7 linked regions of the Kluyveromyces lactis genome follow. The main gene of each other region encodes a partner of the protein of the gene in region 4 in a complex. Links are inferred from orthologs where the notes say so. Each region holds a gene or a part of one and is shown on either strand. Other genes may lie near its edges. The genes, in order: MRP7, MRP49, MRPL3, MRPL50, MRP35, MRPL17 and MRPL23.

Region 1 (4,441 bases), on a different chromosome or scaffold from region 4:
GCCTTAAAAACAATATTTATATATCTTCTTCCCCCATAGAACTGACACCCCATCCGTAGCCAGGAGAATTAAGAGAATATCAATTAACCTCCGTTGGTCCACATCACGAGTAAGCATCTGGACAAAGGTGTCCAGTTTATCAATCCAGTTTATACCGTTTCGGCCCTGTTTCGCTCGTTCGCGATGACCTGAATTGGAAAAAGAATTTTTTTTTTTCACTCTCAATATGACTCAGCTACACCATTCAAACCTTTGATCCACCGTTCCATCCTTCTATGAAGCACTTCTCTCATCTGCTTTTGTTCTACTTTCCCCATATATATAAGTTATAAGTGGGTTTTTATATCTGTTTCCACTGTGTATATTCTTTCTTGGTTACACTTCGTCTCTGTTCCACTGAAAGGTTAACGAACTCAGTCGAAAACCTTCTTTAAGCAATGCTAAAAACTAGAGTGGTTCCTCTAGCATTGAGAAGCTTTGCCAGAGCAAAGTCTTCTTCGACTTCGGCTCTTGCTTATAAGCAACTGCATAGAAATAAGGCAAGACCTCCTTTACCAACGATCGAAACTCCATCTTGGTCTACTAACAGTGCCATCTCATCGATCCTATATGAAAATCCAGTAATCTCAAAGGAGCCAAAGAAACAACATGTTTTGAACTGTTTGGTTCAAAACGAGCCAGGTGTTCTATCGTTAGTCTCAGGTACTCTAGCTGCAAGAGGCTTCAATATCGATTCCCTTGTGGTCTGTAACACTGAAGTGAAAGATTTATCCCGTATGACCATTGTGTTGCAAGGTCAAGACGGTGTCATCGAACAAGCCAGAAGACAAATCGAAGATTTGGTACCAGTATTTGTCGTGTTGGATTACTCTCATTCCACCATCATAGAAAGAGAATTGTTGATGACAAGAATCTCTTTGTTGGGTGCTGAATACTTCGAGGATTTGATTCATCACCATGAACAAGATGAAAATACTGATACCGTTGAAAGAATAAGACAACAGCAATTCCATCCTTCCAACCTTCCACTGTCCCAAGTATTGAGATTGAAGCATGAACATTTAAACGACATCTCTAACTTGACTGGTAACTTTGGTGGTAAGATTGTTGATATCGCTGAACAAAGTTGTATTGTGGAATTATGTGCTAAACCATCCCGTATCTCTGCATTCTTGAAACTTGTGGAACCTTTCGGTATCTTGGAAGTGGCAAGATCAGGTATGATGGCTCTACCAAGAACCCATTTATCTGTCGGTGATGAAGATGATGCTCAAAGCAAGATGAATGACATCGTTGATATCTCTCAATTGCCTCCTGGTTGATCCAAAGGGCTCACCTGCCATAGTTTTGTACCTCAAAACAATCCAATATCAAAAAAATAGTAATGTAAGAGTATGTTTTGGATTTTGTCTCACACATATAGACAAATTAAATACGTTAACGATATAATATGGAATTAACCTTTCCAAATGATATATAGTCTCTAAAAAACTTTCGTTTTTTTCAGTTTAAACTATGATGATTGTTGTGGTTCTTTTGTTAATATGTACAAGGCTCTAAATGGTTTGTTACGTAACGACTTGGGGAAGATTTACAATTTGCTCAAGAAATCGGTCTTTGGTCTTGTAATGACATCTATCGTGTTTTGTTCGTAGTTGTAACGTCTGGTGGTTAGATTTTTCTTGGAAGGTTTGAGTGGTTCTTCCAATTTCTTCAATTCTGTTTCTGGTTTCACTGGCTTCAAGAATTTTCTGCGTAGTCTCACCTCTTCAGATAACGTCAAGAAGTTCTTTGCATCAGTAAACTTGGCTAGTACTTGCTTCTTACTGTTCTTGTCCTTAATATCAATTGCCTTCAAATCAGTAATTAGTTGTGTCTTTAGAGTATTCTTTTCTTCTGGAGAAATGTATTTAGTTAATTCAAGCTTGTTGTTAAATGACAATGATTCATTCAATTTGGTCGAGACCTGTTTCAACAATGTTAGTTTGTCGTCCAACTTAGATTTTTCTTGGTTTCTCATCTTCAATTTAAGTTCTTGTTCCAAATAGTAGTACGAATTAAATCGGGCATCGGATTCATTGAACCCATTCTTCAAACAAGTTCTCCATCTGAGCAAATATGGTAATGCAAACGCAAGTTCTTGTTGATCCAGCTCAACTTTCAGATCTGAAATTATCTTGCTGTATTCTGCCTTCAACTCTTCACGTTTAATCTCACGTTCTTGCTGTTTCTTGATCAATTCATCCTTCAGCAAATAAATCTTTCTTGGTAAAGCGTTCTCTTCTGCAATGGCTTTCTCTTCATCCTCAATGATGGCCTTGCCGAATCTTCTCAAACGTGGTTCGAAATGCGGCAAAGGAAGCTTTACATCCTTGTATAATGATACACCAATGAATTTCTTACCTGGATGAAATGGATCCAAATAGTATCTCACATAACCCGGCTCCAAAGCGAAAAGCGTATGATCTTTACCGATGCCTACATTTTCACCAGGATAAAACTTGGTACCACGTTGTCTCATGATGATCTCACCAACTTGAGTGGCTTGACCCTCGTATTTTTTTGGACCCAATCTACGACCAGCAGAGTCCTTCATACTGGTACGAGAACCTGCTGCACGCTTGGTTGCAGTACGCACCTGCTGCACCACAAACTTGGGAACTTGTTGCCACGAAGATGAGAACATTATGCGTTGTTTCGTAGGCCTGGTCCGAACAGTATCAAGCAATGTCACAGTAACTGTATTTCTGCGTGTATCTGTACTTAATGTATTTAAGATAGGATTTTAGTGACAAAAATTTTCCACAGTATGGCGGATTGTAAGGTAGGGTAACAACGAAATCCAACAAGATATAGCCCTTCGAAGGTTCGTGTAACTGACTGTTTAAGAGTTGAAAGTATTGATTTATACATTTTACCAATTTCATCTATTGCTGAGAGTTCTTTCGATACCATAGTGAATTTTTCATGCTTGAGAAGGAGTAAACGTCTAATTCACGTCAAAGTTATTCGAAACTGAGGTTCCAATTAAAGATCTACCATCACTATATACGTTTTGATGTTCTCTTCCAGCACGAAAAACTCATATTTCTCTAAGTACAAAACATCAAGAAACCGACACTGCTTGCATCGAAAAGAAGTCTTCACCTTTCAGATTTACGTTTGAATAAACAGGACGTCCATTTATAGAAGTTTCCCAAATTAATTATCGTGCTGGTGAAGCCCATATTATCTAATTGAAATAGGAATACTAAGAACCGACAGCCCATAGATAAAAAAAAAATAAAACAAAATATATCAGTGATTCTAGCGAAAATGGCAACGGAAGATAGATGGGGTCTTGCCGTGACTCAATTACAAGATCTATATAAAATAGGAGATATTGCGGGGTTTGAGTCTTTAGATCCGAAGAATATGAATTTCCAGAATATGAATTTGAATCAATTGGCTGATATCCATGAGAAATTAGAGGCTCGTCAGTCTGTAAATGAAAAGATGAGAAATTACTGCAGAGATTTGGTAGAGAACATTTCATACATATTAGATAATTATCCAGTGGAAGAGGAACCTATATTAAAGGAGGAATCCAGTTCGACGCATATCCCTGAATCGAGTGTTGTTGGTAGATCACATTGGACCAGTCAATTCAACCCAAGTGAACCAATTGAGGTTGGTTCCGAAGTTGCATATAAATCTAAAAAGACTGGCGAATGGATCCAGTGCATATGCACAAAAGTTTCTGGGGACGGACTCCGGTTTGAAGTGAAAGATCCAGAACCCGATGAATTTGGGAAACCAGGTGGTATATTCAAATGTAACTCGAAAGAGATCCTCTTGATCCCGCCCGTGACTATGAAAAGAACCCAGACTCCGAATTATCCAGCGAATACAAAAGTTTTGGCAAGATATCCAGAAACAACGACTTTCTATCCAGCTATTGTTTGCGGAAGCAAAAGAGATGGGACATGTAAGCTACGATTCGACGGTGAAGAGGAAATAGACAAGGAGACTGAGGTGGAAAGAAGATTAGTTCTTCCTTTCCCCTCTAGACGATGAGTTTCTTAATTATATCACGTTCACGAAATGTATGTAATTTTCCATAGCCTGTAACAATAAAGAAAAAAAAATTATGAAAGAACATTAAATAAACCGTATCACATTGAGATAATGTAGGAACTAGTAGCGGTGCCTGTTTGTGATTTATCGCATCAGACGCGACAGACATTAAATACCATAGTTCTAGTTTCTTATTGTCGAATATTTTGTATATGATTCATGGTGTACCTTTTTAACAAAGTGACACTTAAATCAATAACAAAACTGTGTTTTGTGCTATTGTTAGTGAATCTGGTTCTAAAACTGATGAAGGCTCCAATTTTGCCTTTATTATTCCGGATATTAACCACCTGCCCAGCGAACAAAGATGTATGTATCTTTTGGT
Region 2 (3,770 bases), on a different chromosome or scaffold from region 4:
GGTTGAGTGGAAACAGCGAAACTCTGATAACCAACTCTGATGCTGATCATCCTATGGAGACGGATAATAATAACTCTAATCTTAATAATACTAATTCCTCTACTAATACTAATGATAACAAAGATTCGTCATCCAATTCCAGCAATAATGAAAATGGGGACAGTAGCAACAATTCAAATAGAAGGCATAGCAACCATTGTCACAAGCATAACCATCTAAGCAGCACTTCTACCCTCAAGGCAAGAGTTACTTCTGGAAAATATGCATTATATGATTTTCAGATTCTGAGAACTTTGGGTACAGGTTCGTTTGGTAGAGTTCATTTGGTGAGATCCAATCACAACGGCAGGTTCTATGCAATGAAAGTTTTGAAAAAAAACACCGTTGTCAAATTGAAACAAGTGGAGCATACCAACGATGAAAGAAATATGCTAAGTATAGTATCCCATCCTTTCATAATTAGAATGTGGGGAACTTTCCAGGACTCACAGCAATTGTTTATGATCATGGATTACATCGAAGGTGGTGAACTATTCTCTCTTTTAAGGAAGTCTCAAAGGTTCCCAAACCCGGTCGCGAAGTTTTATGCAGCAGAAGTTTGTCTTGCGTTGGAATACCTACATTCTAAAGGCATCATTTACAGAGATTTGAAACCAGAAAATATCCTTTTAGATAAGAACGGACATATCAAGTTAACTGATTTCGGGTTCGCTAAATATGTTCCTGATGTCACTTACACTCTCTGTGGAACACCGGACTATATCGCACCTGAAGTGGTAAGCACAAAACCTTACAACAAATCTGTGGATTGGTGGAGTTTTGGTGTTTTAATCTACGAAATGTTAGCAGGATATACACCTTTCTACGATTCAAACACAATTAAGACCTATGAGAATATTCTAAATGCTCCAGTAAGATTCCCACCATTTTTCCATTCTGATGCTCAAGATCTAATATCGAAACTCATCACAAGAGACTTAAGTCAACGGCTAGGTAATTTACAAAATGGAAGTGAGGACGTAAAGAATCATCCGTGGTTCAGCGAGGTTGTGTGGGAAAAACTACTCTGCAAAAACATTGAAACTCCATATGAACCTCCTATTCAGGCCGGACAAGGCGATACCTCTCAATACGATAGGTATCCAGAGGAAGAGGTTAATTATGGCATTCAAGGCGAAGATCCGTACCATAGTATTTTCACCAACTTTTAGCAGGCATACTTGCTCATGAAATTCAGATATCAACATGCCTCTTATCTTGCATCTACACAATATGTAAACTTTAACACGCCTTTCCCCCCGTTAGTCCCTTTTCTTTTTTTTTTTGTTTTGATATATCGGCTCATTGCCTTCAGAAACGCTGCCGTTATTTGATACATTCCTTTGAATGACCATCGTACAATACTAGATGGATTGATGTACGCACTTCCAATTCAAAATTCGTTTCATTCGTTTTGCTGTACTCTCCAATGGATGCTCGATGCAATAATCTTATTTTTGGAGTATTTATCTATCTATAATCAATGGCATTTACATATTTTGAATGCATGTATAAGACTTCATCACAAGTCCTTCCCTCACGATCCATGCTACATAAATTGTAAACTGGGGTAAGTCATGGCACATTCATTTATGTTTTGGACGTAACTTGCTTCTGTCGAATGATTTCACGTGACCAATGAATTTTTTTCCAAACTATTGAAAATTCAAAAAGTTCAGTGGACATGTCCAGTTGAAATGAGAATGATTTTACGAAATAGATGATTGAAGTGATATTGCTGAAAGTGAAGGGTCCTGGTTGCTCTACTTTATCGTCAAGGTTTATTTTACCGATTGGATACTTATACTCATTGTCACTCTAGAGAAGATCATTAATAAATAATGTCAGGAATCGTTAAACAACAAAAATTTTTGAACAAGATCAGTGCGACTACCGTGAAACCTCAAATTATATTAGATGTATCGAAGTACAGTGCATTGAATGTGAAGTTCCAGTATCAGAATTTCAATGGCCATATGGGTGCCCGTAAGTTCTGGCACGAGTTTTTGCCTTCTCTGCAGTTTTACAACCCTGCGTTGCCAATCAATGTGACCAGAATTAGAAACGATGATAAAAAAGTCGATGTACCATGCATACTAGAAGCTATTGGATCCGATGGGAAGGTTGTAGCTGAAGTTTCAATGAAGCACAAACACTCATCTGAAATTATGGATGAAGTGCTACAGAAATTGGAACACAAAAGAGTACCCCAGGAAGAAATAATAAAGGTATGAGCTCCGACCTTTGACAAAGAAAAACAAACAAACTGGAATACCTAAATATACTACTTTCAAAGTTAGGTCCTGTACATATGTATATAATAAGATACTTTTCATCCGATTTGATGTCTTATTCAAATGACATATCCTTTTGAGATGAGTTGACTCTCTGCCCAAGGATCGTCAAGACATTCAAGAACACGCGAGAAGAAGATTTAAAACGCCAGTATATGGTTACCAGGTGGTTATTTAACTTGAATTTCAGAACGCCTCTTACATCTAATTGTCATTAAGACATCTTACATTAACAGCGACTTCTTCATCTGCGGAAATGGTTTTCTGCGTATTGTTCAGTTGAAATTTTTCAATCTCGAAAATGATAAATCGCTTCAGATCTCATCATCTCATCTCATCTCATCGGTTGACCACAGAAATTATCAACACCCCAAAGAGGCATATAGTAGGGGCATTATTCACAGGTGAAGACTCTCAACCCAACAACACGAATGTCTAATACAGACTCCAGTGATACAGATGATATTCTAACATTTGTACTGGAATCCAAGGGGTTTTTCCACACTGCCGGCTGTGAGATTAGAAGATCTGATTATGGTGGTTTAGGAGTGTTTGCATTAAAGGATTTGAAGGAGGACACTGTACTCCTTAGGATTCCGAAATCTTCTGTTTTCACTGCAGAAAATAGTAGCATTGCCAATCTACTGGTTGATAGCGAGGTAAAAGGCATGTTGGCATTAAACATTGCATATATTTATGAAGTATTCATATTTCAAGTTGAAAGCCATTGGTACAAATATTTGAAGAGCATTTCACACAGACAAAATGGGAGTCTATATCTTCCACCGGCATACTGGGAAGATAATGAGAAAATTTTGCTGAAGAATACTGCATTGGATGTTGTATTCGAGGCGTTGTCTCCACAAGAAGAGATAGAAAATGGTTTCAAAGTTGGTATTGCATTATCCCGTAAGTGGAACGAAGAATTTGGGCTGAAAATACCGTATTTGTTCGACTTCAATTTAGAAGATCAGAAGCAAGTCTCTTCGAATTTTAAAGAATTTGCTGCTATAGCATTCGCCATATCGTCAAGAGTATTTGAGATCGACAACTATCATGATTCTGGATTAGTTGCCATAGCAGACCTTTTTAACCATCACGCAACGAGGCCCGACGTAAGGTTTGAGAGCATGTATGATGTGTGCGATATGTGTGGGGAATTAGGGGATTGCAAGCATGTGATTGCTGAGACGAAGGCATTGGATATGGAGATGGAACAGAGAACTCAAAGAATAACACCAAGGGAAACCGGGACAATAAGCTTGTCAGTTATTGAAGAGTTAGAAAGAGAATTAGACCCTTCAGATTCAGAATCTGTGGAGGAAACTGTTTCTGATGAGAATGCAGAAGAAACTCCTGAGGCAATAATGCCCAAGAACATTGATACTGATGAATGTGTAGATATCATTCTTTCAAACGATGTCAAAGCGGGAGAAG
Region 3 (4,416 bases), on a different chromosome or scaffold from region 4:
TGTTTCGTTGGTTGTCCGTGGATGTTCAACTCTGTTATGTTAATTTAAGGTATTTATTGTTTAAAACTTCAAAATCTTGAAATATTCATATCAATTTAAAGGAATATTGACACATCAAAATCCTATGATCGTCTTTACACAGGTGTCATAGACCACTTGTCTGAACGTAAAGCTTTAAAATGAGGGGAAAGGCTTTGAAATCCAAACTCGAAGAATTGGTGGATGGGATTCAGCAAAGAATTGATTTCGTAACTGCAACTGGAGTGTCGAGTTTTGAGCAAGAGACTGAACAAAATTATGGTAAACTAGAATATTTACAGAGTAAAATCAAGAAAGATGACGGCATTAGTGATTGGGTCGATGAGAAACAACGGCTTTCTGGCAGATTGAATAAACTAGAAAAGCAAGTGCAAGAATTGGAAGAATTGGCAGATGAATGGGAAAACTATTTACAATTACTTGCCGATACAAAACTTCGAAAAGACAACGTCTAAAACCTCTTCCAAGTCAACGTTATCACCAGTTATCTTCCCAATTCCATCGGAAGCTATTCTAAGTGATTCGCAAGCTATTAATATATCGTCATTCTTGTGCTGGAAGAACTGATCTAGGCCGAATAGAATATCAGTGCTTAAAATTTCTTTGACTCTATTGGACACGGTGACTGGATCTTCATTCTCAGTTGCCGAGATTCTTCTGAAACTTAATGTCAAGGTCTTAACTAATGGTTCCAATCCAATTTTGGTTAAGCAAGAGACTGTATGAATTTTCAGGGCTTTAAATTCTGCATCGAACTTTTCAATTAAGTATTTTAACTGGGTTTCAGTAGCTAAATCCGATTTATTCAACACGACAATTAAAGGTTTATCAGATAAGTTATCCTTGATAAATTCTTCAAAATGTTTACTTATATTTGGGTTAGATACATCAATGACCAATACCACTAAGTCACTTTGTAAACTTTTCTTTTTGGATCTGTCAATACCTTTGATCTCAATAGAATCTGAAGTTCCCTGTCTGATCCCTGCCGTGTCAGTCAAGATACATTTAAAACCGTTAATGTCCATCATTACATCGATAGAGTCTCTTGTGGTGCCCGGTATATCACTGACAATCGCAACGTCGTCTTGAGATATTTCGTTAACTAATGATGACTTCCCGGAATTTGGTTCACCCAACAATGTTAACTTTATCCCATCGTTCAAGACAGCCATTCTATCTAATTTCACCATGAATCGAGTCACTTTTTTGTATAGTTGTAAAAGTTTATCATTGGCACCATTCACTATAGAATCGATATCTTCCGTTTCGATATCTTCACCAAAATCAATAATTGCAGTTAGTTTAGCGATCTGCTCTATAATCTCTTGTCGCCATTCATGGAAAATGTCTACGGTCTGATTGCCATGCAATGCAGACAATCGCTGTAATTCTGTATCTGAATGAATCATATTGTTGATACTTTCAAGCTTCAACAAATCCATTTTCCCATTCTGGAAAGCTCGTCGACTGAATTCTCCCGGCATCGCCATACGAATATCTCTTTCAGAGTCCCGCAAACCCTGGATTGAGTTTAACGCTGCCTTTATAATAGCTTTCCCCCCATGTAGATGCAATTCCACTAAATCTTCACCTGTAAAGGTCCGTGGTTGTGGGAAGTACAAGACTAACGCTTCATCTATCAGAGTTGATGCCTTGGGATCATATAATGACCGAATCATCGGTTTCCTCTGCCGTAGCGGTTTTTTTGGCGACAATTTTTTTAAGATATACTTTGAATGTGTACCCGATATCCTAATTATAGCTATTGCAGAGTGCTGATTTGATGGCGTTGATAATGCATACACTGTAGGATGGAAAAATGTCGCTGGAACACTATAAAACCGTCGCAACATTGGGCTGAACATCACTTTTTGCGAAAAATTGAACCAAATGAGAGTGGGATCCTTGTAGACTACCATTACGATTCCAACTGCAATTTATGGTAGTTTAGAATAGTCTGTAAATATGTTTAGCTACCGATTCATCGACAATCCATAGCATAAGTGCGCCGTATCAGAAAGAATCTGGAATAATGAGATGTCTGTGAAAACATATTATTATCACGTGACTACTCGGAAAACATCAACAGTCTACTATATCCGGGTAATTGCAGATCTCAGTATCGAAATATTGAAAAAAAATTTTAGTGAAAGAGTTACAGAGAGAGGATGGAAAGAAGTTGAGTGATGCAGTGAGCTATTGGTGAGGTTTGCCATTGATATATACAGCAATCAACATCACCATCGAGGGGGGTTAAAGAAGGATGTCTGTTTTGAAGCTATTGAACCCTGTGCGAGTGCGAGGATTTGCTTCTTGTGCCAGGTTGTACCAATCAGAACTGTCATCATTGAAAGAATATAAGAATACCATCAGTACACTGTTAAAGAACCCTGCACATGAACTAACAAGCCCCAATTTAGTTGCACTCCATTCCAGATTAAGATTGCCTCAAGGCTTATCCTATTCTCTTTTGTCCAGATGTTTGACGTGTCGTTCTAGTGGGGAAGTGAACTATGACAATGTCAGTTTGAACATTTTTGGTAAGAGTCTTTTAACTTTGGCAGTTACATCCGAGCTAATGAAAAAATATCCTAGGCTACCGGGTGTGGTTTTGAATGCTGCTGTGGATGCATATATTAACGACCATGTTTTGAGCAATGTCGGTCGTTCCTGGGGTATAGAACCGGAAACTCAAAGTGTAGTGGATAGATATGCAAAGAAAGAAAATGTTACCATTACATTGGGTAAACTACGTTATTTCCAAAATTCCGTAGATGAATTGCATAACTTCACTGAGAACAATGCTATGGCAGTTGCCGTAAGGAGTATATTCGCCGCTGTATACAGTGTCGACAAAGATTTCAACCAGACACATAAGTTTATCGCAGATCATATTTTGTCCAGAAAGCTGGACGTTAAAGATTTGTTCGCGTTCGAACAACCAACCAGAGAACTGGCAGCTTTGTGCCGTCGCCAAGGATTGGAAAGACCGGTATCGAAACTACTTGCAGAAAACGGTAGATTGTCTAAATCACCCTTGTTCATCGTTGGCGTTTTCAGTGGTGAAGAGAAATTAGGCGAGGGTTACGGTTCATCTTTGAAAGAAGCTAAAGCCAGAGCCGCTACAGACGCTTTGTTGAAATGGTACTGTTACGAACCAGTGCATGGCCAACAGAATGTCGTTATTGACCAAGGCGAAGTGTTAGTATAGACAGGCCGCATCAGCAATGTATGTTTTCCACATAATCCTTTTCAGTTGAGATCAACTTTTAAAGATTTCTTTCCCTGTAAATATAATATACAAATACATAATAGTAATTCATACACTGTTGTACTCGAACGAAATAAAAAAGGAGGTTGTACGAAACTTAGTTGTGTCTTGAGGCCTTGCCTTATTTATAGCTAGATCCTGTTCTGCATTATTTGATCAAGATATGGATTTGAAGGAGGAAGTTCTGCTGCAAGTTAATTCGACGATCATTGAAAGTAAAGGAGGTCCGTTACTATTTATCCTTGTATTGGAAAATGAAATAGCATCACAGTGTTTTCTGTGTGATGGAGTTGGAAACGTTGATACGAAGCTCAGCCTTTTCAGCTGGAAATCCTCTGATCCAATTGGAATCCTAATGGTTGACCCGGACATTTACGATTACGATGACATGTTACAGTCGTTGAATTCGAAACAATACATTATTAAATCCAAGTTCCATTACTTCCCTGAAACTAGCAATTTGATACAATGGCATGAGAGTGTACGATATCCTTATAAGCTAATCAACTGTGGAGTAGAAATTCAGGATGATCATTCCGATTTAAAACTATTAAAACGTGATTTAAAAGATCATTTGGATAGGATGATTCAATATCTTGAAGATAATGATAGACCAAGCGATGAAATCTTGAAAGAAATTTGGTTATTAAAGCTAAGATACAGTAGAACATCGGCTCCAGACTTAGATTCAGAAATCTCTAGGCTGGAATCTGATATAATGATGATGCAAACGATGTTCAATCAAATGGAAACCAATGCAGAATTATTCTAATGCTACTGGCTCAATTATTCTCATTATTCATTTACTAAATTAATGCAAAACTATATTAATAACTTACGGATGCGTTTATCTATGGGCACACCAGTCGCGAAACATGTATTTTCTGTGCTTACCCATTTCTTGGCACACTCTAAATTAGCGACATATCCAGATGAAATCATGGCAGGTTCTGTTATTTCTTCGCCGCATAGGGGACATACGTCAGTCGTATCATTGTTATCCACCTCTGATGCTACGCCAGGTAGTACTGGAGGTTTTGGTCTCTTTACTCGTATCTCTTTCTTGAATAATTCAGGCCGCTGATTGATAATTTGTAAAATTC
Region 4 (3,709 bases):
TATGTTTTCATGTCCGAATCAAATAAGTTGAACGGATTTATTCCTCACTATGCCGGTGAAGATTTCAAGGTGTTGCTATCTAAATCTGCCAAGTTCTTGAAGTTTATTTCTTTCACTGATTTACCAGAAGAGAAACCGATTACTGACAAATTATGGGAGTCTTCTCAATTGCCACGTTGTGTCATCTACTTATCCTTGGTAACTTCTGACAAAGATATCGAATTGTTGGAGGAATTGATAACCAAAGTTGTCGAAATTTATGACAATGTTACTAAGGATATTCAAACTAACTCATCCAATTCTTTCATCACCACTGATATTTTGAAGAAGGGTATTCAATTGCGTAAAGAAGAGTTAGGCAAGATTGTTAAAGTCATGCAACAGGTTGAAAGAGAAATGGCTCTTGAAAAAAAACAAGAAGCTGAGAGACAAAAGAGAAAGGATATGAGAGACAAGTTGACCGACCAAGAACTTGATAAAATGGAGTTGAAGAAAAGAGAAAAGAGAGAAAGACGTCTGAGAAACAAACAGAAAATGAGAATTTAGAAAGTTCATCACTATTGGGGTTGTTTCTCATTCTCGTCTCTTTATTTCCAAAGCAACAGTTAAAGCTGATCAAGAGAAATATGCTCGTCCAGGTGATGAGCGTTCCTGTAGTAATAACTCTCTTGTCAATCCCCATTTAGTATGAATCATCCAGATCTACTGTCCACGTTATTACTTCAACTGGTAGCGATTGGATGCAACGAACTTTCTTTATTGTTTTCGCAAGTTATTTTAATGTAATTTATGTACAAGTGTATGAATGTGCCTCTGAACCGCAATGGGGACGAGACGTCACGAACAACATCCATGATCATTATTATTTTGTAAGACATTGGTATCTCAAATGATCCGCGTAAGGAGGAAAAAAAAGATAAAACATTTACTATCATAAGTCTAATCCTGGAATCTTCACATTCTCGATAGTTATTTCTTCGTTTAATGCTGACTTAGGAGTTTCTGGTGTCTTATTTTCTTCCTTGGATACCTGCTTAGCCTTCTTTACGTTCTGTTCAGTCTTCTTCACCGTTGATTCGGTTGTTTTTAATAAAGCTGCTGCTGATGCACGTGATCTCTTAGCTGAGGTCAACAGGGCTTGGTCAATATCAGTTTCCTTTAGAATGTAGCGGGCTCCATTATAGTTGTGCAAGAAGTTTCTCATTAGTGAGGGCTTGACATTTACCACCTCGCCGGTATGAAATTGGAACTGAGGAAAATCTTTTAATAACTGTACCTGTACTCTCTTTGTACGTTTGGTTAAGGCAGAAAGACACGATGATGTCGGTCTGAACATTTTGCTGTAATATTTTAAAAGCCCTTGGAGCGTGTGCAGTTATTGGAATAGCACTTCAAACACAATTGACGCTATTTTTAATTCCCTGCTTATGGTTAACTTTTAGATTGATCTTGTTCTAATGTGATTTTAAACTATCAAAAATTTTTGAAGCTTTAAAATCATATCTAAGTGCCAGCCTAGTTAAAAGATGTGTACATAAAAAGAAGATAAAAGATTGGTTTAGCGAGTGACAGCCGTTCATACTGTACTACTCCGTGTTTGTAACCTTTGAAATACTTATTTATAAATGAACTGCGTAATGGATACAATCTAACCTAATACGATTCGCTATAAAGTATTGTATGGGTGTATGGGTGTATGGGTGCTTTCGTTGTTTCAACATCAGTTTTTCGAATTATTCAATCAACCTAAACAAAGCATTCACTAGCTTTTGGTACATTAACTTACATGCATCAACTTGTATAGATGAGACATATCATCTGCTTACCTCCTAGTAGAATAAACTAAGCTACCGCTAGATTGAGATTAAAGAAAAATCAAAATCAAATGTCTGCGGCACAGAGTGGAGCAACGGTTGAACATCAACAGGCACAAACTGTGCCAGTTGCACAACCAACTGACATGTATATCCAACCGTATTTGAAGAAATTAATACCAGAATTGGATGGGCTAAGTAAGTTACAAGAGGCTGAGAAGAGAATTGACATATATTTAAGTCGTAAAAAAATTGATTTGCATCAGAATATTACTCAATGGACTCATTCCAAATACACAGATCCTGCGAATAATCAGTTTGTTCGTGTTTTCATTTCTAATATTTCTGAGAACCAGCCATGGCAGACGAACGATGAGACCATGGAACTTGATCAAGCATCATGGACATTGCGTATTGAAGGTAGACTGTTAGATAATGGGAAGGCAGACGATCCAAATAGGCCTAAATTTTCCTCCTTTATAGAAAGCGTCGCGATAGATTTCAAACCTGTAGAGGAAGATCAAGATGATGAAACTGATCAAGAAATGGGAGACCCCTTATTAGAAGGGACACAGGAACCTAGTGCTAAAAAGCCAAAAAATGAGCAAACCGTTTTTGAATGGCATGTGGATCCTAATACTCCTGTAGAGTTTGACGGTGTTGATGTTTCACGTAAGGGTACTGAAAACGTTAACTGTACCATCACTATCCAACCAAAAGGGTATACAGGGGAGTTCTTACAGTATTCACCAGAACTATCATGTATTGTCGGATTCTCAAAAGGAACCTTTCATGAGGCGATATACTCTCTTTACAAATATATTCTATTAAACAGTCTATTGACGAATAACGACGAGGCGGGACCAAAGGATTCCACAAACGGTGAGAAAGTCTTAGTGAAAATGGATGCTTCATTAGCAAAGCTAGTGTCTCCAGAAAGGCTTGCCGCAGGCATTGTTTCTTTGAAGCTCGCCGATTTGCCAAGTCTAGTGAAAGATCATGTAAAACCGATACCTCCAATAAGACTTGACTATACTATTCGTGTAGATCAGTCTTCCACTTTCGGAGATTTGGTATTTGACATGGAAGTACCTAAATCAACGTCAGTTAAAGGCGACCAAAAGTTGTCAAAGGATGAATTATTGCTATTGAATGAATACAATACGCTATCAACTGCAATCGAACCACAAATACAAGAACTAAATCAGAAAACACAACTATTACAACTACAACTAAATTCAAGCGCAAAGAAATACCAATTTTTTGATAAACTAGCTAAGGATCCAGTTCCAATGCTACAAGATTACATGGAATCGTCATCGCAGGCTCTCAAAGTGTTATCAGGGGATGCTGGCTTCAATGAAGATACAGTGAGAAGATCACAATTCTACCAGGACAACGATTCAATTCTTTTTGAAAACATTGGAGTTCTACTTTCAAGCGGAAGAATGAAATAATTTCATTCAGTATTTTATCGCTTTCATCATAAATATATGTATACCGTATACAACGTATACCTTGGTAGTTCTTCGCAGAGCGGGCCCATACTTCGTGTATTCAACAACCGTATAGAAAACATTTGTACTATGAAATCGTCTAAAATGATTAAAATCGTTCAGAAAATATTGAAAATTGTATTGAGTCATCTGTAAACCTCTGCTTTCATCAACTTACCACGAAGCAAACTGTTGAAGTTTATAGTTGAGAATAACACTTGTTAGTTGTTGATTAGATCAGGCAGAGGCTCCAATAAGGTAAGATATCCAATCTAAGACCAAATCAAAATGTCACAAAGCTATAGATCTACGAGGTCATCCGATCCTGCTACCAAAACTTTTGAGGAAGCTATTATTCAAGGTTTAGCTTCGGATGGTGGTTTGTTTATCCCATCCATT
Region 5 (3,727 bases), on a different chromosome or scaffold from region 4:
TGTGGTTTAGTACTCGATGCTGAGAAGGGATATGTTATTGTTTCACGTAGTTTTGTTCCTCATGACTGTTTGAACACGTTTGTCTCGTTCGCTGAATCCATTCTTGTACCTGCTAAAGTTGTATTCTTACATCCTACCCAAAATTACGCTATTGTTCAATATGATCCATCTTTAGTTGACGCCCCAGTATGCACACCAGTGCTAGCTAATGAAAGGCTTGAAAGAGGAGACGAAACTAATTTCATTGGTTACATGTACTCAAACACTTTAATCAGTTCCAAGACTAAAGTCAATGGCATCTCTTCTCTGAGTGTTCCTAACGACATCATTCCTAGGTATAGAGCAACCAATCTAGAAGTCATCTCCATTGATTCGAATATAAGCACCAAATGTAAATCAGGAATATTAGCGGCAGATGATGGTACAGTGAGAGCAATCTGGTTATCCTGCATGGGTAACAAGGAAAAACTGTATTTAATGGGTTTAGACGTAGTGGATATCAAAGAAGTTGTAGATATTCTCAGGGCTGGTAAGAATCCTAAGGTTTCTATTGTGGACGCAGGATTTGATTCCATCTCATTATTGCAGGCTAGAATCAGAGGTGTTCCTGAAGAATGGATTAAGATGATGGAAGAAGAATCAGAAAACAGATTACAATTCATCAGTGTCACCAGAAACTCCTATACAACAATAAAGGAAAGGCTCGAGCCTGGTGATATTATCTTATCAGTTAATGGGAAACTGGTAAAAAGAATGAGGGATATTGGTGGTGTCGTGGGGACTGATGACGATACGGATATCGAATCTGAGTTGTTATTCAAGGTTGTAAGAGATGCGAAGGTTATCGATTTGAAAATAAAAACTGTACAAATTGAAGAAACCACTAGAATTGTCGTATTCGCAGGTTGCGTACTACAAGCTCCTCATCATGCCGTGCGTCAAGTAAAAACGTCTATTCCTAGTGAAGTATATGCGGTTTCTCGTGGTACATCTTCTTTGGCGTTACAGTACGGAATAGAAGTGACCAACTTTATCACACACGTCAATGACCAATCAACACCTGATTTGGATACATTCTTGAAGGTTGTTAAAGAAATCCCAGATAATACATACTGCAAGTTACGCTTAATGACATTTGACGATGTTCCGTTTGCCATTTCCTTAAAGACAAACTATCACTACTTCCCAACGGTAGAATTAAGAAAGAATCCAAAAACAGGTAGTTGGATCGAGAATGATATCTCGGAGACTTAATTTGACTATATATATGATTAATCATTTTTTACCGTTGTTTGCAAATTGTATATAGGTATTTATTAATGATAATTATCCATTATAGTAACCCGCTGATTTTTCATGACATGCTTTACTGAAAATCATGGTAAGAAATGGTGTGTCATTCATTATGGGGATGCCATTGTTATATGTACAGGATTGAAATCGAAACGATATCTTATTTTAATTGCCTTTCATCTCTTAATGGTATGGAAGCAATCTCTTTAAACGATGCATATGTGTGGAGTCTGCTAATGACCTGCCAGATAATGATTTAAGGGAGTTCCTACTCCATCCAGCATTACCATGATTTCTTCCAGCCTTGCCCCTCTTGAAGCTATTGGCTGTTTTTCTCCATCTTTTTGCGGCACCTTTGTGTGTTTTCATCAAGTTTCTGGTGAGGATGAGCGATGAAACATTAGTTTTAGATCCCAGAAGTCCAGTTCTAGCGGAAAAGTTCATCATCGAACCAAAGATAGAAGATAGCATATTTGAAGTAGTTCGCTGGTGGGGTAAATCCTGCTATAGTCCGTTAACAATGAAGTACTTGAATTGTAGCTCACTTTCACTCAGTACCTTGCCATAATCTCACAAGAAACTTTTATTACATACACTTCTTTCAGAGAAAACAAAAAATGTCATTTATGTTGAAACGTATGTAGTGATATACTATCGAAGTGTTTAAAATTACAATTTGATTAAATTGTGAGATGGGGGAGATACATGTATATACAGAAAGACGTATTTGTTTCTAGCAAAATGGTAGAAGATGATGTTTTTGAACCAGGGGTATTTAGGAGCACATATTTTGCAATGAGCTGTTATTGAAAAGCGTTGTTCTCGTATTCTTGTTCTTCTGTGTTTCTTTTTGTCTTGTTTTTGTGAAGAATTGATAACTATTTCTTATTCTTCACGTTGTAATGTTGAGATCTTGTCGTTTACGATTAACACAGTTCACGCTGCTTACGAGTCATAAATAACTTGGGTGAAATGCTACAACTTTTTGTTTGTAAAATCATAACTTTCTTGGTAATTCATTCGTTTAGATGTTGCATGGTATGTTGCCATTATGGTCATTAAGGTGAGACAAAAACAATGAGCTATTGTAGCTTTACTCATATTGAAATGAATTAAATTCATTCGTGAATATCATGCTAATTTACGCGAGACCTTGAGCACGGTAGGCTGCAATAGCTTCGTCGATCTTACCCTTAATGAATGGATCAGCTCTGATCTTTTTCTGGACCTTGGTAGCCTCAGCGAAAGTAGTAGCTTGTAGTTTTTCATCGAAAGATCTTGAGAGATCGGCAGCATCTTCGAACAATTGAATGGCATCATCAATTTCTTCTTGTTGCAATTTTAGTTGAGCAAGACCGATCTTGGCTTGTTCGGATCTTGGATCGATCTTACAAGCTTCTTCAAATAATTCGGAAGCTTCAACGAAGTTTTCAACGGTTGGGTTTCTAATCAAAGCAGTGGCCTTACCAATCATTGGAGCAATACCGACGTGAATACCTGGTAAAGCATCTTCCAACTTGATGGCAATATCGTATTGCTTGATGGCAGCATCTAGAGAGTTCTTAGCAGCCAAAATTTCGGCATAAAAGTTTGGAACTTCTGGAGCAGTTGGGAACTTTCTTCTGGCTTCGCTGAACAAAGTTTCACAATCATCAAATCTATCGTCACGGAAAGCCAAGCAAGCACATTGGATGTAGGCAAAAATGTTTTCTGGATTTAATTCCTTAGCCTTATCGAAATCGGCACCAGCTTCTTTGAAGTTTTCAACAACAAAATGCATTTGACCGCGATGATAGTAAACAGCAGAGCAGTTTGGATCTAATTCTAAAGCTTTGTCAAAGTATTCCTTGTATTGGTTGGCTTCACCCTTGTCAGCCATAATCAAAGCCATGTAGATGTAAGTAGAAGGTCTTGGGTTCAAAGACAACGATTCTTCCAGGTTAATATGCGCGGTAATTGGATCATTTTTGAAGAACTTGAAAATACCCACATGTTCGAAGGCGATGGCAGCCTTCTTCTTCAAAGATTCATTATCTGGAGAAGATTCTAATTCTTTCTTGTATAACTCGGCAGCCTTGGTGAATTCTTCATCAGCCAATTCGTAACATCCGGTTTGACATTTGTACAAGTTTTCCAAACCTTTTTTCAACTCAACATCTGCTTCATTTTCGCCATCGTAATCATCGAAAGAAGTTTCAGGGTTGAAGATACCGAAGAATGATGCCAAAGAGGTGTTAGATGGTAATGGAGATTCTTTACCCTGGTTCTCCTTCAATTTTTCACCCAAGACCTTTGTGGCTTGTTTGTTCATGTTTCTTTCCAGCAGTTGCTCCACGGATTGACCGCTGTATTCACCCAACAAAGAGACAGCCGACAAGTCAAACATAGCATCGGAGAATTGGCCCAAGTTTTCATAAGCACTAGCTCTTCTCAA
Region 6 (4,047 bases), about 530 kb from region 4:
TACGAATCTTGTATCTCTTTTTCCCCTGATGAGAAATCGGATGATGCCATACATTCCCTTTGCTGGTCTAATGATTCCAAACAAATTATCGTTGCATATAAATCAGGATTCATAAAACTATTTTCACTCCAAGATGATGGATTAAAGTTTCTCTGTGAAAGGCGGAATGATATGAAAACCATCACGTCACTAATAATGGATCCATTAGGCAGAGCATTGTTAGTCGGAACTCATAACGAATGTTCTATCTATTCGTTACCTGATCTTGTGCCCTTGAAAAAATCAATCAAGACAGATAATAGAATAACTGGAATTGACATTTCTTTTGATGGGTCAATAATATCTATTTTGAGCAAAGCATTAGACTCTCACGATTCATTTTTAAGTCTCTATTGGTACAATGATTTGTCTATCCTATACAACACGGTGGTTAAAAATTCATCACGTTCCACAATCAAGTGGTCAAAGTCGTGCTTAATATTTTACACCACTGGTGCTCTTGATAAAATGACAATGGTTGATTTACGTTCAGGCAGACCGAAAACTATGGTATCGACCGATGATCGTAAACGAAATGATTTTGTTAAGAAAAGCACCGATCGGAGCAGTAGAACTCAAAGAGACACACCACAGCGCGGGAAGAGGGATAAAGAGCTGCGCAAACAACCATACAAGAGAGATGCTGATAAATTCAGTGAGAAGTCGTTTGGTCGCTCCAACACAGGGTCTTCTTTTAGAAAGCCAAATGATAGATGGTGATAGATTTAAAAGTTAATTAGCATTCTTACAAGTATATAATGTTCCAATCTTAAAATCAATCAGAGTTCAGCAATATGTATATGATTGTTATCTTTTAGTGTTCGATACGGGTTGGAATTTCTATCCGAAGCAGTATTTACAGGAGGGTTTACATATATATATAGTGATTAAATCATGCCAATACTTTCTGTGTTTGATGATAATATGTTAATTCTCAGCAAGAACATATTGTATACTATTGAAATATCTCTCGTCAACAGCTTTCTTGATTTCATCTTTTGTCAACCATGCAAATTCTTTGATTGACTTTTCATCCTTTAACTTGAATTCACCTGCTATGATATGCGATTTGATCAAAAACTGGAGATCTTTTTCAGATTGTAGAACACCTGCTGGAGTATTCGACACAGTCCATGTATTAATATCTTCTCCGCCGATTTTTCTTAATCCCACTTCAGCGGTCTCATGTAAAGCTTTCTTTCCTTCCTTAGCTTCAATATCAACCGGGAAACTTGGAAGAACCCAGCTTCCCTTGTCATCCTTCACAAGCAAATGCAGAGTTCTGTCCAATTTTCTGTCTAAACTAGTAATATCGTTATTTTCGTCTGCCTTTGTAGTTCTGGAATTAGGAACAATTGGCCTTGAGACATCAGACTTGTTTGAACCTTCTGAAGCCTCTCTTGGTAGCATAATATCTTGCTTTTGACTTCTTTCTCTGTTATGTCTGACGTCTGGCACTCCTTTAGGGAACCATACACCAGGCTGCTTGCTAATCACACCTTTCTGTACAGACTGGAAACGACGCTCTGCCAAAGTACCTTTTTTGAAATAGAAATAAGATGGAAATGTCCACATTAGTCTTCTTTCCAGTTCTGCCTGGTATTGGTAGTACTTGTTCTCTAGTGCATTCAATTCTGGAGTGACGATTGGAACACGAGAAAGTACCAAACCTGCCTTTACTGCCTTGGGAATCGAGCTTGCTGCTGCTTTCACAGACATTTTTATTTATAATTGTGTCGATGAAGAGGGTTGCTGACTGAATATACACGATGATTGACAGCTGGTGAATATGCTTCCCAATTCTGATAAGCGGCACTATTTCAACATGATGCTGATGTTCCAATAATTTTTCAAATTGTTTGAACATCCTCTCATGCCTACTATTCCAAAATTTTTCAATATGAAATAATCGATCACGATATACGGATTTGATAACTTTCCAAGTGGTGTCACTAATAGAACAAAGTAGTGAGTGAATTGCATATGCATAAAGGCTATCAGATACAGAAAATTATTTAAGTGCATTTATATAAGCATTATTTTGGCGTTTGGTTCAAAATATTCATCAATGTGTTTAATTGCGCAGTTGGATCGAAATTTTGTGGGGGTTGAGGAGATTTTTGGCCCGAAGGTTGAGTAGACTGATGCGATTGCTGCTGCTGCTGCTGCTGCGCAGATGATGCCGATCCCAGCAGTTGATTTTGACCATATACCATTGATGGAGGCTGCTGATACAATGGCTGGTTATAATACTGTTGTTGGATTTGAGGAACGTTCGGTATTTGTGATGTTTGAACCGGAGGAGGAGGAGGAGATATATTACTGTAGGGGATAGGTGTTTGAGAGACAGCAGTAGCTTGACCAACTTTACCAGACTTGGGACCCAAAACACCTTTATCAGTTGGCATCTTTTGCGAAATCGCTTTTGATGAAACACCTTCACCAACAATAATATCGGGCTCCTCATAAACCATGTTTGTTTGGATTGGTTGACCACCAGTACCACCCCATTCCGCGGACTGTGACCATTTGAAGTCAATTTCGGTTAGCCTGGCCAATGGGATGATTGAATATCCATATTGATAGTCACAACAGTCTCTAGGACCGAAACCAACGGCCCAACGGATTCTCAAACCATGTGTCGGATTGCCACCACCAGTGAAATGCGCCATGATCCTCTCCGCTTCTGCTCTTGAATAGACTTTCACAAAGGCGTGCTTACGGGCATTATTCAAAATAACACTCTGAACCTCACCGAATTGTCTTAACATTCTTGCAATATCATGTTCTTTGAAATTTTGTGGGACACCACCAACGAAAAGGGTTCTGGAATATACTTTTACGTGGTCCCTTGGCACAGTTGGATCAAAGGATACCGGTTTTGGCCTAAAATGAGGGTTTGAGGGAACATTCTGCTCATCTGGGTACAAATGATGGTTATTTCCTTGTTGACCATTAATTGACTGCTGCTGTTGTTGTTGTTGTTGTTGTTGTTGTTGCTGCTGTTGCCTAGATAAATGCAGAGAAGTTGTTGCCTGTGCTCGAGATCTGTCATTTTTGTTTCTTGGGGGTGATCTAGATCTGTCATTTCTGGAGTCTCTTCCAACGTACTGCGTTGAGCGAGTAGACCTTGACGATGAAGAGGTAGAAGAGGTAGAATTATCTATCGAGCGAGGAGCCTGTTTGTTTACTTGAACCAATTTTTGGTTCTTTGTCAGTTCAACTTGCAACTTTCCTAGAAGTTCTTTCAAACAAGAGTCCTGTACCGATATGTCCTCTGAAAATAAACCAGACGGGACTTGTATGCCAGGAAGGTTTTCGAATTTCGGTATAGCGTTCAAGACTTGATCAATTTTACTACCTGAGGAGGACTTATTATCATTACTGGGAGCTGGGCGTGGGGTTAAAGACGAATTAGATGACGAAGATGGAGGGATCGAGTTGCTATTTACAAGTTCACTCAAACGACTCCTTGCTGCATTCAAAGGTTTGTTGTTAAAAACGTTGTTTTTATCCCAAATATTTATTAACTCCTGAATTTTTTCTAGATGGGCTGGATCACTTCTTTCAATACCATCAATTAGTAAGGGTTGTATATTATCGTTTAATAGTTCTACACCTTTCAAAAAATAATTCCCTTCTTCGCCTTCTTCTTGTTTTACAGTTTCTGACTTACTCATTAATGCTCTAACAATAGAATCAACGATATACAAGGAGCCCAATTTGTGAGTCGGAGGACACTCTTTGGAGTACTGTATCACAAACGACAACAATGCTTCGATGTTCCTTCCGTGATTGACAGCATAGTCTGTTAATTTTCTGATACGAGAACCAGAAATCCCAGATTTCAACTCTTTGAAGGATTCTAAAGTAGCTACAAAATCCTCATGCTCATCGCTTTGCATCATTGTGATATGTGTGTGCTTTTGTGTACGTGCAGTTTCAATAATCAAGGGGATCTATTTTAGGAACGTGTTCGTAATAGCAATACGATCGGACGACTGAGGG
Region 7 (3,940 bases), on a different chromosome or scaffold from region 4:
GAGTACCAGTCCACTGAACCTCAGAGAGGTTTTGCAGTAGCTCCAAAAAGATCTGTAAATGTGAAGGAGAATGAAGTGTTGAAGGCTTATAAAGCTGTAGGTGAACACGCCGTTGAACCGATTTCTTTCTATGTGCCTAGAAAGTCCGAGGTTTTCCAAGATGACATTTATCCTGATGCTCCTTCTAGTAAACCAGCATTATCTGCAGCTGAATGGGTTGAGGGTAAATCTGTTGATGGCCCAATTTTGTTCAAACTCCAAACTTTATATGATGGAAGCGAACCTGAATTCACAGATTCCAAGAAACCAGTCAAAGAATTAACTTCAGAGTCTAAAGAACAGCCAAAATCTCCATCTCAATCTCCATCTCAATCCCCATCCACAGAAGTAAAGCATGAAGTGATAATTCAACTAACGCCTAGTAATAAAAGTAAGAAAACATCACCAAGTCCTGCTTCATCATCTAGTTCTGGTAGTCCAGCTAGGAAAGAAATGCCACCAGCAAAAGACACTGGCAAGAACCAAGTAGACGAACTATTGAGTAAGGATGCTTCTGTAAACAAGTTGCTGCAAAAGGCTTCTGACTTAGATGCTGATAATGAGGCTGAAAACCCAAGCGAAGAAAGTTCAGTATGGGACTCTGAGGATGAAAAGATCGTGAAAGCATCACAACAACCAGAAGTTGTTGTGAAGGTGGAAGCTAACACCGATTCTGAACCTGACAAGGCTGCTGAAGAGGTTCCACAGCAAAAGGAAGAAAATTCGTCTACAGAAATTACCTCGAAGGCCTCAGCTTCTTCTAAAGTCGAAAGTACTCCAGAGGCAAAGGTCGAAGCTTCATCACAGGCTAGCGTGGAAACAAACATCCGTGTGAACCCTTCTCAGGAAGACAGCGAAGAAAAGCCATCTTCCAATCCGAATACAGGTGGCGCAGCTGGAGCAGCAGCAGCAGCTGGAGCAGCAGCAGCAGCTGGAGCATCTACGAACAAGTCTCTCAATTTGAGACAATCTGTAGAAACATTATCTGGATTAGTTCTAAAGTTGGAAAGCTATATTGATAAATTAACCGAGGAAAATACCCGCAAAGATGAAATTCTTGCTGCTTTGGAAGCAAAAGTAGATCGTCTTTTGGAGCAAGGGAAATAATATCAAATATGAAATACATCCTTCCCTAATTCTTCTCGTTTTTGTTCTGTTAAATGTTCTTTCTTCCAGGCAAAAGTATTATGCTTTGGCATACTGCGATGTAATATCTTTTCTATCTCTGTATGTGATTTGTATGTGATTTGTATGTGATAATTAACATATCTAAATAACAATCTATATGTACATAGTAAAGTGGAAGAGTTTAGTACAGTGAAAAACGACAGACATTGTATGCGTACTAAGGAGAACCATTTAGATCGAATAATAATATATACAGGGATTTTACATCACATGCTGCCGTTAACTTCTCAAAAATTAAGAAGTCACATAAAAATTCATCCACACTATTTCTTCTGGTGTTGCAGCTCTAGTTGCTGATCAGCAAATGCGGTGATATTACTCTTGTATGGATGTTCACTTCCATCGAAAATTTTTAATCTAGCAAGTCTGATCTTACGAAGTTTATTCTTGGGAAGCATTCCGGACACAGCCTTCTTCAAAACTTCACTGTAACCCTTGTTACTGATCATGTCTTCCATTGTAGTCAACTTTAATGAACCTGGTCTAGAAGTATGCGACCAGTACGTCTTTTGGGTCATCTTGTTCCCCGTCACACGCAAAGCTTGGCAGTTCGTTACCACAACATAATCACCGCAATCAGCAGATGGATGATACACTGGCTTGTGCTTCCCCATTAACGCTAGAGCAACCTGAGATGCCACCCTACCAAGCGTTCTCTTGTCCTTGGATATATCAACATGATGCCACATCCTGGCAAATGCCAAACCAGTATGTCCTACCTTTTGAGACATACTTCTAATATATTGTTATTTTGCCTCCTTTCTGACAGGTTAAAACGTGGCACCTAAAAAGTTAAATTTTAAGTGATGCTATTCAACTGTAATCACTTAGGTAAAGGGATAGTTCGGGACAGTCAGTTGTCTTTTAACTCATCATATGTTTAGCTTGACAATCGATTTGATTAATTGATGTTTAATTTCAGCTTGGAGCCAAATTTTTTTCAATCGCTCATATTACTGTTACCCGGATGTTAAACACAATCTATATACAAGCTACTAACAAATACCTACAACTCATCCTGAACTATGTCGTCCTTCGTAAGTTTAGTCTTCTGTTTGTTCTTTTTAGTCTTGGACTTCTTTGACTTTGATTTATTCAAAATAGATTTGAGGTATTCTTGTCTCTTACTGAGTGGACCTTCCCTTGGTTTTGACTCGAATTTCGAAAGGAACGTTGCAATGTCATTTTTATCTGTAGTTTTTAATATGTCTAGTTCGTCATAAGTATCTGTTTCTCTATCTATCACTACGATTCTGGGCGATTGTAATTCAGTTTCACTTTTTTCTAACGATTGGAGGTATTTAACAGTATTTGGCCAATTCTTTGTATCGTTCTCAAAACTCAATTGTGACACGCCTTGCAATTTCTCGTCCCAGATCGAATAGAAATCGTAGATCCCAAGCCAATCGAGGGCTACAGATTTATATAAAGTTGGAATCTTCTCCTTCTTTGAGATAAGCACTACAGCGTACCTGGTTCTTGAAGATTTTAATAGTTCTTCGAACTTACTGTAACGGTTCAACCGCTTCACGTAGTTTTTCACTCTAGATAAAGCGAAATCGACAATGGGCTTCAATTTCCTTTCTCCCTTGTACACTTCTGTGGCATGCTGTGACGCAGCACCATTGGAATTTTTCTTTGGGTTATCCAAATTGATCTTTGGAGGCCTGAATACCATTAACGTTGGGAACCCCGATACTCTGTTCTGTGCACATAATTGTTTATTCACACTTTCATCACAGTTCACTCCAGCAACTTGTACCATTCCAGAGAGGATTTTACCGGCAGATTTCATGGAACCTTTCAATTCCTGACAGTAACCACACCACGGAGCATAAAACATGACCAAAGTGGTGTAATTGGTCCTATGAATGACTTTATCGAAGTTAGAAGGTGTCAATTCCATGATATTCTCATCACGGTCGTAGAAATTGGCTCCGAACGCCAGTTCGACCAACAAAAACAATGCATATAGAAGACGTGTGTACATCATAGTCTGGAGGACTTTAGAAAATGTTCAACGATGGAAGTTAACAAGGTGGTTTACTCTCTTCTCTTTTTGTCAATTTCGAGTGATGTTGAATTTCTTGGCAGCAGTGGACCCAAAGATTTGATTTTGAAATCGTTAAAAGGAACATCGATACATAAGAACTAAGAAATAAGGGGACACGATCCCATCATCATCATCAAAGGAATAAGGAAACACACAATAGCAGAGCCAAGTGATTAGAGAATGTCATTAGAAACTAGTTCTCCATACGCATTTTATGCTTTCTACCAGTTATACAGCCAATTTTATCGCGTGCCTAAGATAACACTAGAAACCGTGAACGATTTTTTGTATCAGGGGAAAGGTTTAAAACCTGAGTTTGCACGGAGTCCCCTATTTGTCACATGGAAGAAGTTGAAGAAAGGTGAATACCAACTTAGAGGGTGTATTGGTACGTTTTCCGAAGGTAAGATTGAAGAGGGTTTGAAAAGGTACGCTTTGATATCTGCATTGCAGGATTCGAGATTTACACCAATCGAGCGGGAAGAATTGAGCCAGCTAAGATGTGGATGCAATTTACTCAGTCAGTTCAAGACTATTTATAGCAGTGAGGGCACAGGCAATAGTGGTGATATTTGGAATTGGGAGATTGGGAAACATGGTATTGAGATTAAATTCAGGCATCCCAAGACCAATTCTCGGATGAGTGCTACTTTTTTGCCA

What was found.
Region 1: MRPL50 (region 4) and MRP7 share a complex: the UniProt entries of both Saccharomyces cerevisiae proteins name them as parts of the mitochondrial large ribosomal subunit. The link is inferred for Kluyveromyces lactis from reciprocal best matches to the Saccharomyces cerevisiae genes MRPL50 and MRP7.
Region 2: MRPL50 (region 4) and MRP49 share a complex: the UniProt entries of both Saccharomyces cerevisiae proteins name them as parts of the mitochondrial large ribosomal subunit. The link is inferred for Kluyveromyces lactis from reciprocal best matches to the Saccharomyces cerevisiae genes MRPL50 and MRP49.
Region 3: MRPL50 (region 4) and MRPL3 share a complex: the UniProt entries of both Saccharomyces cerevisiae proteins name them as parts of the mitochondrial large ribosomal subunit. The link is inferred for Kluyveromyces lactis from reciprocal best matches to the Saccharomyces cerevisiae genes MRPL50 and MRPL3.
Region 5: MRPL50 (region 4) and MRP35 share a complex: the UniProt entries of both Saccharomyces cerevisiae proteins name them as parts of the mitochondrial large ribosomal subunit. The link is inferred for Kluyveromyces lactis from reciprocal best matches to the Saccharomyces cerevisiae genes MRPL50 and MRP35.
Region 6: MRPL50 (region 4) and MRPL17 share a complex: the UniProt entries of both Saccharomyces cerevisiae proteins name them as parts of the mitochondrial large ribosomal subunit. The link is inferred for Kluyveromyces lactis from reciprocal best matches to the Saccharomyces cerevisiae genes MRPL50 and MRPL17.
Region 7: MRPL50 (region 4) and MRPL23 share a complex: the UniProt entries of both Saccharomyces cerevisiae proteins name them as parts of the mitochondrial large ribosomal subunit. The link is inferred for Kluyveromyces lactis from reciprocal best matches to the Saccharomyces cerevisiae genes MRPL50 and MRPL23.

The regions. Positions count from the first base shown.
Region 1 is NC_006042.1:1,138,920-1,143,360, forward strand, and holds MRP7 (mitochondrial 54S ribosomal protein bL27m), read right to left. Parts: upstream 2,687-4,441; coding exon 1,592-2,686; downstream 1-1,591. Other genes in the region: ILV6 (acetolactate synthase regulatory subunit), read left to right, coding at 438-1,322; SGF29 (Sgf29p), read left to right, coding at 3,316-4,056. UniProt on the Saccharomyces cerevisiae protein: Component of the mitochondrial ribosome (mitoribosome), a dedicated translation machinery responsible for the synthesis of mitochondrial genome-encoded proteins, including at least some of the essential transmembrane subunits of the mitochondrial respiratory chain.
Region 2 is NC_006038.1:622,047-625,816, reverse strand, and holds MRP49 (mitochondrial 54S ribosomal protein mL61), read left to right. Parts: upstream 1-1,880; coding exon 1,881-2,273; downstream 2,274-3,770. Other genes in the region: KLLA0_B07205g (cAMP-dependent protein kinase), read left to right, coding at 1-1,211; RKM3 (protein-lysine N-methyltransferase), read left to right, coding at 2,765-3,770. UniProt on the Saccharomyces cerevisiae protein: Component of the mitochondrial ribosome (mitoribosome), a dedicated translation machinery responsible for the synthesis of mitochondrial genome-encoded proteins, including at least some of the essential transmembrane subunits of the mitochondrial respiratory chain.
Region 3 is NC_006041.1:686,279-690,694, reverse strand, and holds MRPL3 (mitochondrial 54S ribosomal protein mL44), read left to right. Parts: upstream 1-2,305; coding exon 2,306-3,253; downstream 3,254-4,416. Other genes in the region: KLLA0_E07679g (uncharacterized protein), read left to right, coding at 180-494; MSS1 (Mss1p), read right to left, coding at 456-1,961; KLLA0_E07613g (uncharacterized protein), read left to right, coding at 3,477-4,085; PEX12 (ubiquitin-protein ligase peroxin 12), read right to left, coding at 4,136-4,416. UniProt on the Saccharomyces cerevisiae protein: Component of the mitochondrial ribosome (mitoribosome), a dedicated translation machinery responsible for the synthesis of mitochondrial genome-encoded proteins, including at least some of the essential transmembrane subunits of the mitochondrial respiratory chain.
Region 4 is NC_006039.1:790,706-794,414, reverse strand, and holds MRPL50 (mitochondrial 54S ribosomal protein bL9m MRPL50), read right to left. Parts: upstream 1,337-3,709; coding exon 932-1,336; downstream 1-931. Other genes in the region: KLLA0_C09086g (uncharacterized protein), read left to right, coding at 1-546; RSC6 (Rsc6p), read left to right, coding at 1,886-3,271; threonine synthase THR4, read left to right, coding at 3,599-3,709. UniProt on the Saccharomyces cerevisiae protein: Component of the mitochondrial ribosome (mitoribosome), a dedicated translation machinery responsible for the synthesis of mitochondrial genome-encoded proteins, including at least some of the essential transmembrane subunits of the mitochondrial respiratory chain.
Region 5 is NC_006042.1:2,240,976-2,244,702, reverse strand, and holds MRP35 (mitochondrial 54S ribosomal protein bL35m), read right to left. Parts: upstream 1,765-3,727; coding exon 1,477-1,764; downstream 1-1,476. Other genes in the region: NMA111 (Nma111p), read left to right, coding at 1-1,254; protein channel TOM70, read right to left, coding at 2,435-3,727. UniProt on the Saccharomyces cerevisiae protein: Component of the mitochondrial ribosome (mitoribosome), a dedicated translation machinery responsible for the synthesis of mitochondrial genome-encoded proteins, including at least some of the essential transmembrane subunits of the mitochondrial respiratory chain.
Region 6 is NC_006039.1:256,527-260,573, forward strand, and holds MRPL17 (mitochondrial 54S ribosomal protein mL46), read right to left. Parts: upstream 1,759-4,047; coding exon 967-1,758; downstream 1-966. Other genes in the region: TEX1 (Tex1p), read left to right, coding at 1-759; Nrd1 complex RNA-binding subunit, read right to left, coding at 2,076-3,947. UniProt on the Saccharomyces cerevisiae protein: Component of the mitochondrial ribosome (mitoribosome), a dedicated translation machinery responsible for the synthesis of mitochondrial genome-encoded proteins, including at least some of the essential transmembrane subunits of the mitochondrial respiratory chain.
Region 7 is NC_006040.1:209,909-213,848, reverse strand, and holds MRPL23 (mitochondrial 54S ribosomal protein uL13m), read right to left. Parts: upstream 1,959-3,940; coding exon 1,491-1,958; downstream 1-1,490. Other genes in the region: CRN1 (coronin), read left to right, coding at 1-1,146; protein disulfide isomerase MPD1, read right to left, coding at 2,234-3,220; KLLA0_D02464g (uncharacterized protein), read left to right, coding at 3,461-3,940. UniProt on the Saccharomyces cerevisiae protein: Component of the mitochondrial ribosome (mitoribosome), a dedicated translation machinery responsible for the synthesis of mitochondrial genome-encoded proteins, including at least some of the essential transmembrane subunits of the mitochondrial respiratory chain.